3 linked regions of the Rattus norvegicus genome follow. The protein of the gene in region 1 binds, or shares a complex with, the protein of each later gene. Links are inferred from orthologs where the notes say so. Each region holds a gene or a part of one and is shown on either strand. Other genes may lie near its edges.

Region 1 (4,264 bases):
TGCAGCGAGTTTTGTTGTTCGCTTCCCTACCCCCAGCACACCTCATCTTTCTGTGCAGAAGGGGAGGGGTGCCCGTCCCGGGGCCCTCCTCTTCTCAGCCCAGCTGAGCCTCTGCCCTCCCCCCTCCTCCAGCAGCAGATGGTGCCCGGGCTCCCGCTGCCAACCTTGCTAGGCGGTGCCAACCTCAGTCCTGGCAGACAACCCATAGAGTAGAAGAGGAGCTTCTGGCTGGCCAGGCCGACCCTCCCCCACCCGCTATCAAACCCAAGACCCTCCGCCTGCCCCACTCCAGCGACCACCCCAAGCTGCTTCTCAATGGTCGGTTCCTAGGTCCCCAAACTCCTCATCTCCTTCTGCTCCCTTCCGCACACCTTCCCGCTCCTCACCACCTGCCGCCCTGACCAGGGCCGGAACATTTGCATATTTGCATATGCAAATAATAACATTTGCATACGACGCGCCGCAGGGGGGGTCTCCGCTAGAGCCGGTTAGCTGTCTGGCAGGCGTCCTCTCCGTACCTGTCGGAAAAGGGCTGGGGCAGGGGCCGTGCGGGAGGGGTTAGGCCCCCCGGCCTCGCTTGCTCCATTCCCGGAGGACTAGAGGAAGTGTTGCCATGGAGACGGCACGCACCCCACCCCCCTCCCAGGCCTAGGGTCTCAGGCTTGGTGTCTCCGGTTCTCTCCCCTTAGCCACCCCTCCAGCCCCTCCCCATCCCCCCCTCTCTCCAACTGAGATCTTGCATCGCCCCCTGGTGGCCAAGCTGGGCTCTGAGCCAGGTTCAGAATTCCAAGGGCTAAATGGGCATGATCTAACGGAGGTACCTACTCTGCCATGCTATTCTCTCAACCACGGGGGCACTGCGCTGGAGATTCCAGTCCGGCTTTTTTCCTCACTTCCAGCAGAAGTCTAGCCTAGCGAGTGCAAGTCTGACTACTCACACCAGCCTTGGGGTTCCAAAACCTGACAATTTGGTGGGGCAGCCAGGGGATCTTCTATTTTCCCTCCCTCCACAGGGCTTCTCTTCGTCCGTAAAAAAACAGACTTTTCTAACTTTTGTCAAAACTTTAATAAATTCCAAACATTTGACAGCTCTGCCCCTCCTTATGGAGATGCTTCCCCACCCTCACCCCAAAGCTCTTGAGGTTTGGATGGACCTGAAGTGTGGGCCTTATCGGTGCAGGATGCTCAGCGCACCAGGTATCCGAAGCCCTAGGCAGGGGAGAGGTAGGAGCCAGACCCTCCCCAGAAACGTCATTATGCTCTGGTGGGCCTTTCCGACCCTCCTCGTCCCCCTGCCCCTTCCCTCCCCAGCCCGCACTGGGCCCCGCCCAGAACGGGGCGTGGGTGTCTCCCGCCAGCAGGCGCCAGTACACCTAAATCTCCTCCAGGAAGTCGGTGGGAAACAGCCCCACCTTGCGGCCGGTGTAGACCTTGACGTAGCCACCAGCTTCATCTCCTTTCTGCACTACGATCTAGGGGTTTAAAGGATTGGGGAATAGGAAAAATTAAGGACAGAAAGATGGGCGCAGGGACGCTGGAGAGGGTCGTTTACACTAATGAGTTAGGATCTTCCTCCGAGGTGTGTGGATGGAGAGGTGCGACCAGGCCTGAGATTAGGTTAAGGCACCCGAGATACCTGGTCCTTCTTGAGAGTGATCTGCCCAATCTCGCGGTTTCCCACAAAGGATCTGGTTACACGGTGCACACGTTCTCCAGCCCGGACCCGAATGATGAAGTTTGGAGGGAAGAATCCCACCTTCTCTCCGATTTTCCCCTAGAGAAGGCAGTGGATAGGCTGAAGGTCTTAGGTTCTAGACTACCTGTCTCCCACCTTGGTGGTAGTCATGTCTTACCCGCCACCACTCCTCATTGGAGTCATCAATGACTGTGATCTTCTCCCCTGGTCTGGGATAGAAAGGAGATCTTCCCTGTGATTTACATTCACATGCCAGTGCCTGGCTGTGAGGCAGGGCACCCACCCTTCTGCCCCCCTCTGTTCCCACAGAGAACTCATCTCTTACTCCTCAGTGCTCCCCACACTCCCGCCTCCCTTGAAGGTTCCTCACGGGAAATCCAGATCATCCTTCTCCAGGGCTTTGAACCGATAGAGAGCCACAAAGTAATGAGACTGCTGGAAACCAGGTTGCTTGTTCTGGGGGTACAAGGGGGTGGTGGGTTACCAGACTCTATTTACCTCTTCCAGGAGCGGGCTGTGTTGGTTTGTGTGTCTGTCTCAGTGCGGAGTGTGTGAGTGTGTGTGTGTGGGGGTGATGGGGAGAGCTCTGAATGAAGTCAGACTTTGACTGGGAAGAGACCAGGGTTCTACAGGGAGGAAAGACTTACTTTATCATCAGGTGTTTTCTTCTCAGCCTTCTTGTCCTTTTCTGCATCGTTTCCTTGGGCAGGAAATACGGACAAATTGCTTCTGCCTCCAGGAGAGCATCCATGACTCCTCCCACTTGCGTTGGTGGACCTTTCTCACCCTGGGTTCAGCTGTTCTCTCTCTGCCTGCTAGACAGCAGCTAAACCCCCACTACACCCCATCCCATCTTCTAAGGATGCAGATGACTGACACTCACCATCCTGTGACTTGCCCTCCTCTGGCCTGGCTGACTCTGGCTCCTCCTCCATCATGGCTGCCAGAGGCTAGAGGGGGACACCAGAGTTAGAGACAAGCTGTCTTGGGATCCTGTGTTTCCTTTGCCTCTCCAGGCAGGCCAGAGAGTAGTAGAGCAATAGTACTTCAGCTGTGGGAGAGTGCTTGGAGATCACTCCAACCACCTAGATATCTAGTCCAACCACCAGAAGAATTCAAGAATGTCACCCATACTGTGCCGGGGAGTTTGTTACCTTACAATACAACCCATTCGATTTGAAAAATTCTTTGTCGGGTTGGGGATTTAGCTCAGCGGTAGAGCGCTTGCCTAGCGAGCGCAAGGCCCTGGGTTCGGTCCCCAGCTCCGGGAAAAAAAAAAAAAGAAAAATTCTTTGTCTTGATTTACTGTCTGGCACTTTTTTGTTTGTTTGTTTTTTTAAAGATTTATTTATTTTTATTTATATGAGTACACTGCAGCTGTCTTCAGACACATCAGAAGAGGGCACCAGATCCCATTACAGATGGTTGTGAGCCACCATGTGGTTGCTGGGAATTGAACTCAGGACCTCTGGAAGAGCAGTCAGTGCTCTTAACCGCTGAGCCACCTCTCCAGCCCTGTCTGGAGCTTTAAATGTTGACCCAAACAGGGTCCCTTTAAATATCCAAGGACAGCAGACATATGCCTTCTGGCTTCTCTTCCCCAGTACTCTTTAGTCCCTTCAAATCACCCCTATGACTAGGCTTCAGGCCCTTCATTATACTGTCTGCTTAACAATACTCCAATGTGTAAGAAAAGGCATGTGTGTGTGTGTGGGGGGGGGACAGCACACTTCTCTCTGTTTTCCTCTCCTCTTGGTTGATTTGAGACAGTCTCATCAGCTCAGCTGTCCTCACTTTACCTGGCCAGGACTGATCTTGGATTTCTTTCTTTCTTTTTTTTTTTTCTTTTCTTTTTTTCGGAGCTGGGGACCGAACCCAGGGCCTTGCGCTTGCTAGGCAAGCGCTCTACCATTGAGCTAAATCCCCAACCCCTGATCTTGGATTTCTTATCTCCTGGTCTCCAGCTCCCCAGTGCTGGGATGACGGGTGTGCCTCACCTTACCTATCTGGCGACGACAACTTTTCACGTTTCCCTGTTGAGAAGAGGCTCTAAGAAAATGGGTGTTTTCCCTGAACCACAGCTGGCCAACTGAAGGCTGTTATCTCTACCCAAGCCTTCTATTAGCTGTTTTGACATCAGATCTCTAGCTTTGCTTCTGGGCAGTCTTTTTGTTTTTTCCAATCCAAGAAAAGTAAATTTTCTCTTATGAGACTTCAGGTTATTAAAGCTTGGCGAGGTGGTGTGTGCCTCCCAGTTCCAGCCCCGGGAGGCTGAGACAGGAAGCCTGAGTCCAAGGCCTTGTCTATAAAGCAAGCTACGGAGGCCTGTGCTGTGCAGCAAGGTCCTTGGAGCAGGTGGAACGGGGAGTGCGTTAGACATGTAGTGTATTTGGCAGAATGCTTGCCCAGAACGCATGACACCCTGGTTTTGGTCCCTTCTGTCACACAAAGCAGGTGTGGCAACATGGATTTGTAATCCTAGTACCTGGGAAGTGAAGGCAAGTGGACCAGACAGAGGTGTTCAAGATCATGGTCACTTACAAGGAGGCTTGTCTCAATTAAAAAGGG
Region 2 (5,312 bases), about 66 Mb from region 1:
GTGCTGGGTGGTTGATGGTGTCAGCATCCAACACCACTAGCTGCAGGGATTTGGCCAGCTCGAATATGCGCTCAATCTCACTCTGCACCTCAGCTGAGGAAGGGGAGCAGCTCACCAGGGGCTCTGGCCACTGCTAACTGCCAGGGCTTCCAGAGCTGCTACACGGCGGCGAATGGAACGGACCAGCAAGCCTGGGCGGGCAGTGGACTGGGCAAGGGAGGAGGGCAGCACTTGGGACAGGTGGTGGGGCGTGGGCAAGACCACAAGGAGTTCAAGGTTTTCACTAGCATCAAGCGGGCAGAGAGCCAGGGACAAAGGACTCCTCACCAATGCTGGAGCGGGCAGAAGAGCGCTCGATGATGGTCCTCTTGCCAGGATTGTTGAGCACAGAGCGCTTGGCCAGTGAGAGGTCAGCCGTGACGCGGGTGATGGAGATCCTGGGTGTGAGGAACACACACACACACACACACACACACGCCATCTAAGTCACGGACTCCCCACACCAGCTCTCTAATTCTCCTTGAGAGGAGACCAGCTCTGGGCATGCATGCATGCGGGGGGGAATTATTTTCCTCCCGATTCTCACTCCCCTCCAGGACGGCTTACCTGCCATCAAACCTGTGTTTAAGGAAGTCGAAGAGAGCCTTCTGCATCATGTCTGTGACCTGGAGGGGAAGATGTGGTGCTGACAGAGGGCTCCAGCAAGGGGACAGTGTCCCAAAGTAAGTTTGCACCCTGCACAGACATTTCCCACGGTGGCAGCTCTGGTGGGGGTAACTCTGGGCTTGGGAGATTCCTTACCTCATAACCTTTCAGAGAGGGTCCCACCAGCACCACAGGCCGCATGGAGGGCACCACATCATACGGGGGGACATGTTCCGCCTGCAGAATGGCCAGGAGGTCAGACAAAATCTTGGTCTCGGTCAGTGCCCACTTTAGGCCTGACTGCTCTGGGGGCAGAGTGGAGAGTTCTGGGCACCCTCCCTCTGTTCTGTTGATGTCAGCAGTGGCTGACCAGGAGGGTCCCCAGAGCCAAAATCCATGACCCCCCCGGCCCAGGTCCCTTTCTGACTCACCTGCTTTTGCTTCTGCTTGGCTTTTTGGAAAAGGAAATAAAAGATTAAAGTTGGTGGAGGGAAAAGGCCCTGTGGAGCTTGGGCGTCCCTTCCCCAGGGGAGGTCAGGGTTCCCCGGCTGCTCCGATCCCTCCCGCTCCGATATCGTTCACAGGAAGGACCCCCTTGTTTGCCTACCCAAGGTGGGTAAGCTGAGGGGAGGAGGCTACCTAGAGATGGAGGAGGGGAACGTCGGTTGCCAATGTCACTCAGGCTGGAAGGGTTCCCGGATCTCCTGACAGAAAGGGGACAGTAAAAATGTCTATACAGTTCTCTATGTTAAAGTTTTACAAATTAGTAACTACGTTTATGACAGCTGGGCATCTACGGTGTGTGTGTGTGTGTGTAGTTGTGTGTGTGTGTGTAGTTGTGTGTGTGTAGTTGTGTGTGTGTGTAGTTGTGCGTGTCTGTGTGTGTAATTGTGTGGTGTAAATGTGTAGCTGCGTTCTGTGGGTGCAGTATTACATGTTCGGGGGAGTGTGTATTGAATCTCAGCACTGTTCTCACCTGGCCTTCTGTTCCTGTTTGAGCCGGATGCTCTCCAGGCGTTGGGGGCTGGGGATGAAGGCAATATCGCCACCTTCTTTCACTAGCCTCCCGATCCACCAGTCATTGCTGTACTTCTGGGAGGGAATAAGAAGAGGGAAGAGCAGTGAGAGATGCTCCTCAGGGAGGACTCTGGGACGCTGGCACAAGGAAAGCAGAGGGAGGGCCAAGGAACGTGTAATGGTGTCATAGAACAAGACAGCCAGGTTCGAGCCGCAGGCCGTTGCGCTTCAGGGTGTGGAATCCCGGATGTCACCACAAGACCACTGGTTGCTTAGTTACTCTACCCTCCCAGACAGAACTCAGGACCAAGCCAGGTCTGAGAATGGTGGGAACCGAGGGATCAGGCCCCGTGTAAGGGGCATACAGGCATGCACGCAGAGAAGCTGGCTTGTTTTAGATATAGAACTAAAGAGGCACTGGAGGCCGTGACAGCAAACAGAAGAATTAAGTGTTAGAGTAGGCTTCCGGGGAGAGTAAGGTTCATTACCTCTTTAATGTGCAGAAAATCTTTGGCCTCGAAGTTGACTCCAGAGCCCTGGACTGGGCATTCCTCATCCAGAACTCCACAGTAGCTGACATTGGTCCTCACAGCAAATGCCACAGGTTTGTGCTGGGGAATTTGATCATGGGGCCGTGAGAGAGAGTCACCTCACAGTACCTCAGGGGGAGGCAGAGGCCCAGACAAGAAAGCTGCTACAGGCATACACTTTTCCACAGGTGACTTACACCCTGACATGCCCCTGGGGACCTAAGATTCTGCACAGATTCGTGCCCAGCCTAGCCTCCCACCAGCACACACACACACACACACACACACACACACACACACACACACACACACACACACCTTGGCTCTTTCCAGCTGCTGCTGAGCCTGACTCTCCACTTCTCGCCGGGCACTCTCCCGGTCCTCCTCCAGGGAAACGTCTGAGTCCAGAGAGGGGCGGCTGGTGTAGGAGTCGGCTGAACCCTGGACGGGAGAATCTGTGTAAAAGGGACCATACGGGCCTCCTCCTAGCCCTGATGCAGCTTCTCCATCTTCTAGGGGATGATTTGACCCCCTAAGCTGCTTCCTGTGTGTCTCCTGGTGTCTCTAAGGCTACAGGGAAGCCGCCCAATCTGTATGTGCAAAGTTCAGGGCCTTCTACCCCGCACCTGGATTTCTGAATGAAATCTTTACCTTTTTCTCTCCCTTCTCCCCTGTACTAAATATCAAAATACTAAAGACAATGTATTCGAGATGGTGTTAAATCCAGGGGACCGTCTCTTATCTCCATGTTAGCCTGAAGTAGCCGGGACATTATCCCTTTAAGATGACTGGAAAGGGGCTGGAGAGATGACTCAGTGGTTGAGAGCACTGACTGCTCTTCCAGAGGTCCTGAGTTCAAATCCCAGCAACCACACGGTGGCTCACGACCATCTGGAATGAGATCTGAAGACAGCTAGAGTGTACAATAAATATTACAATAAACAAATCTTTAGAAACAAACAGCTTTAAATTAAAAAAAAAAGATGACTAGAGTACACCTAGCTAAGAGATGCCTGGGGTTGGGGATTTGGCTCAGCGGTAGAGCACTTGCCTAGGAAGCGCAAGGTCCTGGGTTCGATCCCCAGCCCTGGGGCGGGGGGGGGGGGGAGATGCCAGCTGCACACCAGCGCTTGGGGGGGTCAATTTAGTAGCTAAGAGACTTACACCTTCTGGGCTGCATGAGACCAACCCCCTCACCCTCAAGACCAGGATGGTATGAAGGCATTTGCTGTTCAAACATGACCTGAGGTAAATCCAGGGGACCAACAGAAGTAGAGAAGCCATCTCTGAAAATACACAGTAAGCTAAAACATACACACAGAGCAGCATGTGTGTGTGTGTGTGTGTGTGTGTGTGTGTGTCTGAGCTTAACACACTTACACAGACTCTATGCACAGTAAATGAAAACATACAGTGGCATGCATATGTCTGACCTTACACACACACACATGAATCCTGTGGTGGTGGCACCTGGCCTACAGAGTGATTTCCAAGGCAACACAGAGAAACTCTGTCTTAAAAACCAAACCAGGGGTTGGGGATTTGGCTCAGTGGTACAGCACTTGCCTAGCAAGCGCAAGGACCTGGGTTCGGTCCCCAGCTCCGAGAAAAAAAAAAAAAAAAAAAAAACCAAACCAATACACACGAGAGAGGGGGGTGGGGGGACAGAGAGACAGAGAGAGACAGAGGGAGGGGAAGGAGGGAGAGAGGGGGAGAGAGAGAGAGAGACACCTGTCTGTCTCCCAGGTGCTTGTGTACCCCGACAGCTGGCTTCCAACAAGGTTTCTGAAAGCTGTCAAACAGATATGAGTGCTTTGCCTTGCCTTGTGTGTGAAGGCTGAAGACAGGACCAAAGCTACAGACTCCTTGGCTCCCCCCACTTTCTTTCCTTCTCAGTCCTGTGGGGACTGGACAGGTGTGAGTAATACAGACAGGTACACCTGGCCTGTATCTCTCTATCCTGGGCCCAAGGGACAGCAGGGCCTGGAGGGAGACTGTACCAGGCAACCCAGATGACATACAGGACCTCGGGGAAGGGATAGACATTGAGTCCTGCCCTTAGTAGGGTCCTGGGGCAAGAAGCCTACATTTGGAGAGTTACAGAGTTCACCTTCTCCGAAAGGAGGACGGGCCAGATGAATAGGGGAAGCTCAACTTTTGAGACAAGCGGCTGAAAGTTAAGAAATGAAACCTTTTCCGACTCCGTGTCTCCTATGTGCAGGAGCCTGGAGGAATTCTTCCCAGTATTCCAAGATGTCAGCACCACAGAAAAAAAGCTTACAGGCTAGGTAAAAGGATGTGCGTAAGGAAAGAGGTTTCAGGATGTTGAGGCTGAAGAAACAGTCTCTTAAAGCCACAGGCTATGACTACCTACCCACAAGCAGCAGAAGCCAGACTCCTCTTTGGAAAAGGCAAACTCACACCCCGCTGTCAACCAGGCCTGGGGCCCAGCGCTGCGTGTGCAGGGCGAAGGCAGGCCAGGTTGGCTCAGGCAGCCCTGGAATCTGTTCTAAAGACTGTGTCTATTGTAAACCAAATGGCTTGAGGCAGCCCCAGAACTGGGGAGGGAGGGGGAGTCTTTTGTTTTGCAGAAGTAGAGGCTATCTGCTGCCCGCCCCCCATCTCTCCAGCCACAGGAAAACAAGGCTAAGGCCCAGAAAAAACCTGGACAAGGGGTGAGGGACCTCACACCCAGGACGTAAGTGCTAAATGTGGGGTGTGGCTGGCTGAAGGACTAAGAGACCAGCAGGTGAAAAGGGCCAGAGGGAGGCCGGATGACCACCCACTGTGCAAGTACCCCCATACTTCCTCTGTGTACCCAGCAGGTTATTGGCGGTGGGGGGAAGTGTAACTTTGACCTCATCTGATCCAAGCAGTCAGCCTAATTTAGTCCTTAATGCCTTTGGGGTATCTAGACTAGGTAACCTCTTAACCCTAGAAAGTGACGGGAGTCTCTCCCTAAATTCTTTAATGAGTTGTGATCAGAATGGAAGCCACTTTCCATAATTCTCATGTCTTGGGGGGTTTGACTATGCTGGTCTGGTTATCGATTAGGAAGTAGGTAACATTCTACCCTGTAGAATGGTGAGGTCTTATTTCCCAATCCATTACGCCCCAAAA
Region 3 (5,312 bases), on another chromosome or scaffold:
AGAGGCTGGGGGCAGGAGCTTTTGGGCATTCTGCCCATTCTGTACTGGGCAAGGGCCAAGAACATGAGCTTGTGTGTGTGTGTGTGTGTGTGTGTGTGTGTGTGTGTATGTGTGTGTGTGTGTGTGTGTGTGTGTGTGTGTGTGTGTGTGTGTGAAGGAGAGAGACAGAGACAGAGAGAGATGCTCAATAACTTTGGCGTGTGAGAGGTCAGACAGGATCCCCCCACCCCAGCTAGAGCCCACTAAGAGAGAGTAACCATCTTACCTGGTACTGGCAGAACTATATGTCCTAGTCTCAATTTGAGGTGGGGCCTAAGGGCCTTTGAGATTGATGGAGCAGGGTTAGTACCATGGGGATGGGGCATGGGCAGTAGCAGCTGGCGTGGGAGTAGAGTGGATCCTGCCTTTGGGAGGAATATAAAAACTGATTGCCAGGATGGAGGTTGAGAGAAAGTTCTGCTAGGGTGGAGGTGAGAGTGGGAAGCTGAACAATCTCCCCAGGCACCAGGCCACAGGTTGGATGTTTACTTCTCAGAGACTCCCTCTTTTCCTTCCTCAGAAACATGACTTTGGGTCTTCAAGAGCAGAATGCCTTTCCCTCCCCACTCTGGGCTCGGGAGAAACCAAGCCTGGCCCTGGGTTGCCTTTTCTCCTCTCTCTGGGGGCATAGCACACTCTGCCCCCTCAGCTCCAGATGCAGGGGAGAGGACGTCCCCCTCTCTTCCTCTGCCCCCCAGCGCTGCAGGCAGCCTCTCCCTTCCCCCCGAGGCTGCCGCAGCCCTGCCCAGCATCTTAATTAGCTTTGCTGCCTAACGAGCCTTCTATTCCTCGGGCTTTCTGCTTCCCAGCCTTCCACTTGATTCGGGGATTCCTGGGTGTGCATCTCAGGCTCTCTTGCACGGTTCCTCATGGTGGCTGTTGTCTGGGCACTGTCCGTGAGGTGGAAGACCCTCTTTTCTTTCAGACTGGTTACCTCTAGGAGGAGAAGCTGAAGTGGGGGTGGGGCAGAGCGGAGAGTCCCCAGCTAGGCTGACCGTATACAGCCCCAGCCCCGGCAGGAGGTGGACTGGGAAGGCAGGCGTCTTTCTGATTCCACTCTTGTTCCTTCCCCACCTCTCCAGGGCAAATACAGCAAGAGGAAAGGGCGGTTCAAAAGGTCAGATGGGAGCACCTCCTCAGATACCACATCCAACAGCTTTGTCCGTCAGGTAACAGGGAAGAGGGCTTGGGAGATGCAGCTGACTGGTGCAGACTGCCTTTCGACGTTCTCGCGGGGCACCTTTTCTCACGTCACTTGTCACCTGCCTGGAACTACCACACCCGACGCCCCGTGACCTCTCTGCACCCACTGCTTCCGCCCCTCCAGCACCAGCTCCCAGCCCCTGCTGCCTGCCTGCCTGCCTGCCTGCGTCATCTCATTCAGGGACAGCCTGGCCTGCCTCCTCCTGGCTTGCTTCGGGCTGTCACCCACTCCCCCTGCCGGCTGTGTGCTTCCATGTCCTCCCCCAGAATCTGTGGTGGGGTGGGGCTGAGGCAGGTGCATGGAAATAAGCTGAGATACCGGGCTCTAGTCAGGAATGGGTCAGGAACATACTCTCTCCACTCCAAACGTCACTCTTGTAAATATGCAGAGAGAGAGAGAGCAACGTGTGGGATAAGGGGTGTTTTATTTTACAGGGATGTAGCCTGTATCCCTAGCTGGAGTTGGTGTTGACAGTAGTTCTCTGGGCCCTCATGCTGAGCTGGGAAAACTGCCACTTTCCTCTCTTCCCTCAACCCCAGGCCATCTTAGGCTGGGGAGAGGCAGTGAGGAGGCATGTGGTTGCTATGACGACTGAGCATCTCAACAAAGCCTGGTACCCGGAAAAGGCAAGGGGGGCTCGGGATCAGACAAGGAAAGGCGTGTGGTGAGAGGGCAGAGGACACTTGGTAGGAGGAGCCCCCTGGGGTAAGAGCCCCACTGGGTCCACAAAGAAGTAGTAGTAGTAGCAGGCAGATCGGGCAGACCCATCGCTGACTGAACTGAGTACTTTATTTTGAGTTCCTCTGCCTCTGGGTTTTCATGTGTGAGCTCGGGCCTAGCTCCAGAGACCCAAGGGAGGTTTTGATCTGAGTGTGTCTAAAATACACAAACAGATCCAAGGTTCTTTCCGTAGTAATCATTCCTTTAGCCCTCCTGTTCCAGAACTGGCCAGTGCCAGGTCTAGAAACAGTGACACCATGCTTTTGTTGTTAAGACAGGAAGAGCCTTCAGCTTCCCCTTGCCAGCCAAGGGGTTAGACCCCCACAGACTCCCATTCTTCTTCTCTTAGCTTCCCAAGTCCTACTCCCAGTAGGTGGCAGGAGTGGGGGGCAGACCTTGCCACATCTCTGAGCTAAATATACCCTAGCAGTTTGCACATGTAGCAATTCTGCTTGTAACCTGAGCTCCTGGGGGAACGGGCTGTGTGGGCCACCCCTAGGCCGGCAGGGCTGGGCACTGAGGGCGCCGGGATGGAGGTGCCCAGCCGGACCCTGGTAGTGGTGAGCTGGGCATGGGGCAGGTGGTGGGTGGGTGGAAGAATCCCTCAAACTGCTGTCGAGGGCCTTTCTGCAGCCCATCTCTTTGCTCCTTTACTCTGCCTGTCTCCCATTTCTGGCTGTGTGTGTGTGTGTGTGTGTGTGTGTGTGTGTGTGTGTGTGTGTGTCTGTGTGTGTGTGTGTCTGTGTGTGTGTGTGTGTGTCTGTGTGTGTGTATGCATATGCATATGGGAGTCTGCTGGGGTCAGTGGCTGCCTCTCTGTCCATCTCTACTTGTCTCTGGGCACCTGTCTGGCATCTGTATTCTTGTTTTGGGGGACTGTGTAACAAGGGAGAATGGGGGTCTTTTGCTTCTCCCCCTGGTTCTGGGTCTCTCCAGGTTTAATTAGTCACCCAAATGTCTAGCCTACCCTTCCTCAAGTGAACTCCCATTCTAGGATTTTCCCTGGGAACGTAATGCTTGTCTCACCTGATGACTTAGGGAGAGGTAGGTCTTCGCCTCCACTCTCCCAATACAAACCAATGGACAATCCCGGCCAAGTGACTTTTTCCTGCCCTCAGGAGAAATCCCTCACATACCTGTAACTCCATGTCTTCTCTGTATTCCCTCCTAGACTTGTCTGCCGCCCACCCCCTCCCGAAGTCACACCAAATCCATGCATCCTGTCCTCCGCCACCCTTTGTCTCCCACACTCAGGGACACAGACCTCTGGGACGCCCTTAGTGTCTCAATTGTTCACACCCAGCACACACTCTGGAAGCCACATTCTCGAGCATACTTTTTTGTATCCCGAAATATACACACGTCTGCGCATTCGTGAGCAGTGCCGTGACATCTGTATGGCTTCCATGTGTCTCATCTGATAGATGTGTTGCTACCGGAGTCCTTGGCACTCTGGGACGGTGACTGTAGTCCGCCTTGGGTTCCTGTCACACTCACTCTTCACAACGGGACTTTCTGCCATCTAGCAGCCTAGTGTCAGGGCAGGGACCTATCTTCCACTCTCCCTCACACCTCCTGCTGCTCTGCCCTGAAAATCATAAGGCAGCTTGGCCCTATTCACAAATTCCCAGCCAGAGGAGTTGGGGAGGTGGGTGTTTTGCTCCCCTGAATCTTGATCAACAGTTTTGGTGGCCCTGTGATCCCAGTAGATGCCATGGGCAGCGGTGGGGATTCAGGCCTGAGAAGGTGGCTACAGTCCCTGCAAAGGATGGCGTTGAGTTTCTGCTATGCCTCCTCGGCCACTCAGGGGCAGGGCAGAGAAGGAGGAGCTGAGAGTTAGAGTCATCCCCTGGCACTCCTCCCTCGGGCTGTGCCCCTATCAGGTTCCCGCCCCTCCCAAGCCCCAAGCAGCTGTCATTAGACCTGCCTTAACCTCCAGCTGGCTGCTGTCACCTTTCCTAGGGTCACACTCGTCCCACAGGCTTGCAAACTTTGACCCCTGGCCTCTTTGTTCTAATAATACCTCCTTTCTTGGCCTTGTGGGATTGTGCTGGGCTGATGGGGTTTTGGATTTTTAGAATGGGTGGCATCTCCATGCCGTCCCAGGAGTCAGAAGAAGTGATGCTGGCCTTCAGCTGGTCCTCTCTGCTTTCAGGGCTCAGCAGAGTCCTACACGAGCCGGCCGTCAGACTCCGACGTGTCCCTGGAGGAGGACCGGGAAGCCTTAAGGAAGGAGGCAGAGCGCCAGGCCTTAGCCCAGCTCGAGAAAGCCAAGGTGAGACTAAAAGACCTGTGGGCATCACCTGTGGGCATTATCCCATCCCCTCCCCCACCCTCCATCCTGAGAGAGCCTGGGCAGACTGTCAAGTTTTGGATGAGTTGCTTACAGAGGTCTGTGCCTGTGTCTTTCCCCTGTGAAGAAAGTGTAGGCTGTGATGGTCTCTTCTTCCTCACGCAGCATGTGAAGGGTCTGGTGCTAGTTCCACCTCGCTTGACAAGTGATGGACTTTGCTTCTTCCTGGGCAAGGGACGTAGCTCAATGTAGAGTGCTTGCCTCGCTGGCACAAGGTCCTGGGTCCGTTCTCCAACGCCACAAGGACAATAAACCCACTTTCTACAATCCAGCTATCCCTGCACCTACACACACACACACACACACACACACACACACACACACACACACACATGCGTGCGCGCATGGGCATGTGTTTATGGTATACACGTGTGTGTGCACACACCCACCAATGCTGTAATGTAGGCCAGAGGTCAGTGTTCGGTGTCTTCCTCGGTTGTTCCTTACTGACCCTGAAGCTTTCCATCTTGACCTTACTGGCCTGCCTGGATCCACCTGTCTCTGCTGTGAAACCCCAGTGCTCAGGTTCCAGATGTGCACCTCTGTTCCTGGCCTACATATGTGCTAGGGTATTTGTCTAGGGGTGGGACATTGCCACCCCAGGAGAGGATGTCGGCCAGAAGTCTCAGGGCCAATCGACCTCTGACCGCACCCATCCCCACTTTTCCATGACAGCATAGTGTACACAAAACAATGTACCTGATGCTCTGGAAGTACTAACAAGGTTAAATGTCATATTCTAGGTTCCCTTTTTTTTTTTTAGAGACAAGGTTTTTCTGTAGCCCTGGTTGTCCTGGAACTTACTCCGTAGGCCAGGCTAGCCTTGAACTCACAGAGATCTGCCTGCTTCTGCCTCCTAAGAGTTGGGATTAAAGGCATACACTACCACCAGCCCCACCAAATTCTAAATTCTTTTAAAAGACTGCTTTATTGGGGCTGGACAGATGGCTCAGCAGTTAAGAGGATTATCCGCTTTTCCAGAGGTCCTGAGTTCCA

The links. Proteins that work in one complex are often made in the same cells at the same time.
Region 2: Stac3 (region 1) and Cacnb3 share a complex: the UniProt entries of both Homo sapiens proteins name them as parts of the calcium channel complex. The link is inferred for Rattus norvegicus from reciprocal best matches to the Homo sapiens genes STAC3 and CACNB3.
Region 3: Stac3 (region 1) and Cacnb1 share a complex: the UniProt entries of both Homo sapiens proteins name them as parts of the calcium channel complex. The link is inferred for Rattus norvegicus from reciprocal best matches to the Homo sapiens genes STAC3 and CACNB1.

The regions. Positions count from the first base shown.
Region 1 is NC_086025.1:65,232,663-65,236,926, reverse strand, and holds the end of Stac3 (SH3 and cysteine-rich domain-containing protein 3), read right to left. Parts: intron 2,647-4,264; coding exon 2,580-2,646; intron 2,397-2,579; coding exon 2,344-2,396; intron 2,153-2,343; coding exon 2,067-2,152; intron 1,906-2,066; coding exon 1,854-1,905; intron 1,775-1,853; coding exon 1,637-1,774; intron 1,473-1,636; coding exon 1,374-1,472; 3' UTR 1,210-1,373; coding exon of another isoform or gene 1,186-1,209; 3' UTR 1,049-1,185; downstream 1-1,048. UniProt on the Homo sapiens protein: Required for normal excitation-contraction coupling in skeletal muscle and for normal muscle contraction in response to membrane depolarization. Required for normal Ca(2+) release from the sarcplasmic reticulum, which ultimately leads to muscle contraction.
Region 2 is NC_086025.1:131,668,249-131,673,560, reverse strand, and holds part of Cacnb3 (voltage-dependent L-type calcium channel subunit beta-3), read right to left. Parts: intron 2,634-5,312; coding exon 2,511-2,633; intron 2,274-2,510; coding exon 2,151-2,273; intron 1,738-2,150; coding exon 1,622-1,737; intron 1,350-1,621; coding exon 1,285-1,349; intron 1,097-1,284; coding exon 1,077-1,096; intron 883-1,076; coding exon 802-882; intron 666-801; coding exon 607-665; intron 438-606; coding exon 328-437; intron 208-327; coding exon of another isoform or gene 134-207; exon of another isoform or gene 94-133; coding exon 1-93. UniProt on the Homo sapiens protein: Regulatory subunit of the voltage-gated calcium channel that gives rise to L-type calcium currents. Increases CACNA1B peak calcium current and shifts the voltage dependencies of channel activation and inactivation.
Region 3 is NC_086028.1:83,508,137-83,513,448, reverse strand, and holds part of Cacnb1 (voltage-dependent L-type calcium channel subunit beta-1), read left to right. Parts: intron 1-1,121; coding exon 1,122-1,208; intron 1,209-2,370; exon of another isoform or gene 2,371-2,493; coding exon of another isoform or gene 2,494-2,523; intron 2,524-4,118; coding exon 4,119-4,238; intron 4,239-5,312. UniProt on the Homo sapiens protein: Regulatory subunit of L-type calcium channels. Regulates the activity of L-type calcium channels that contain CACNA1A as pore-forming subunit.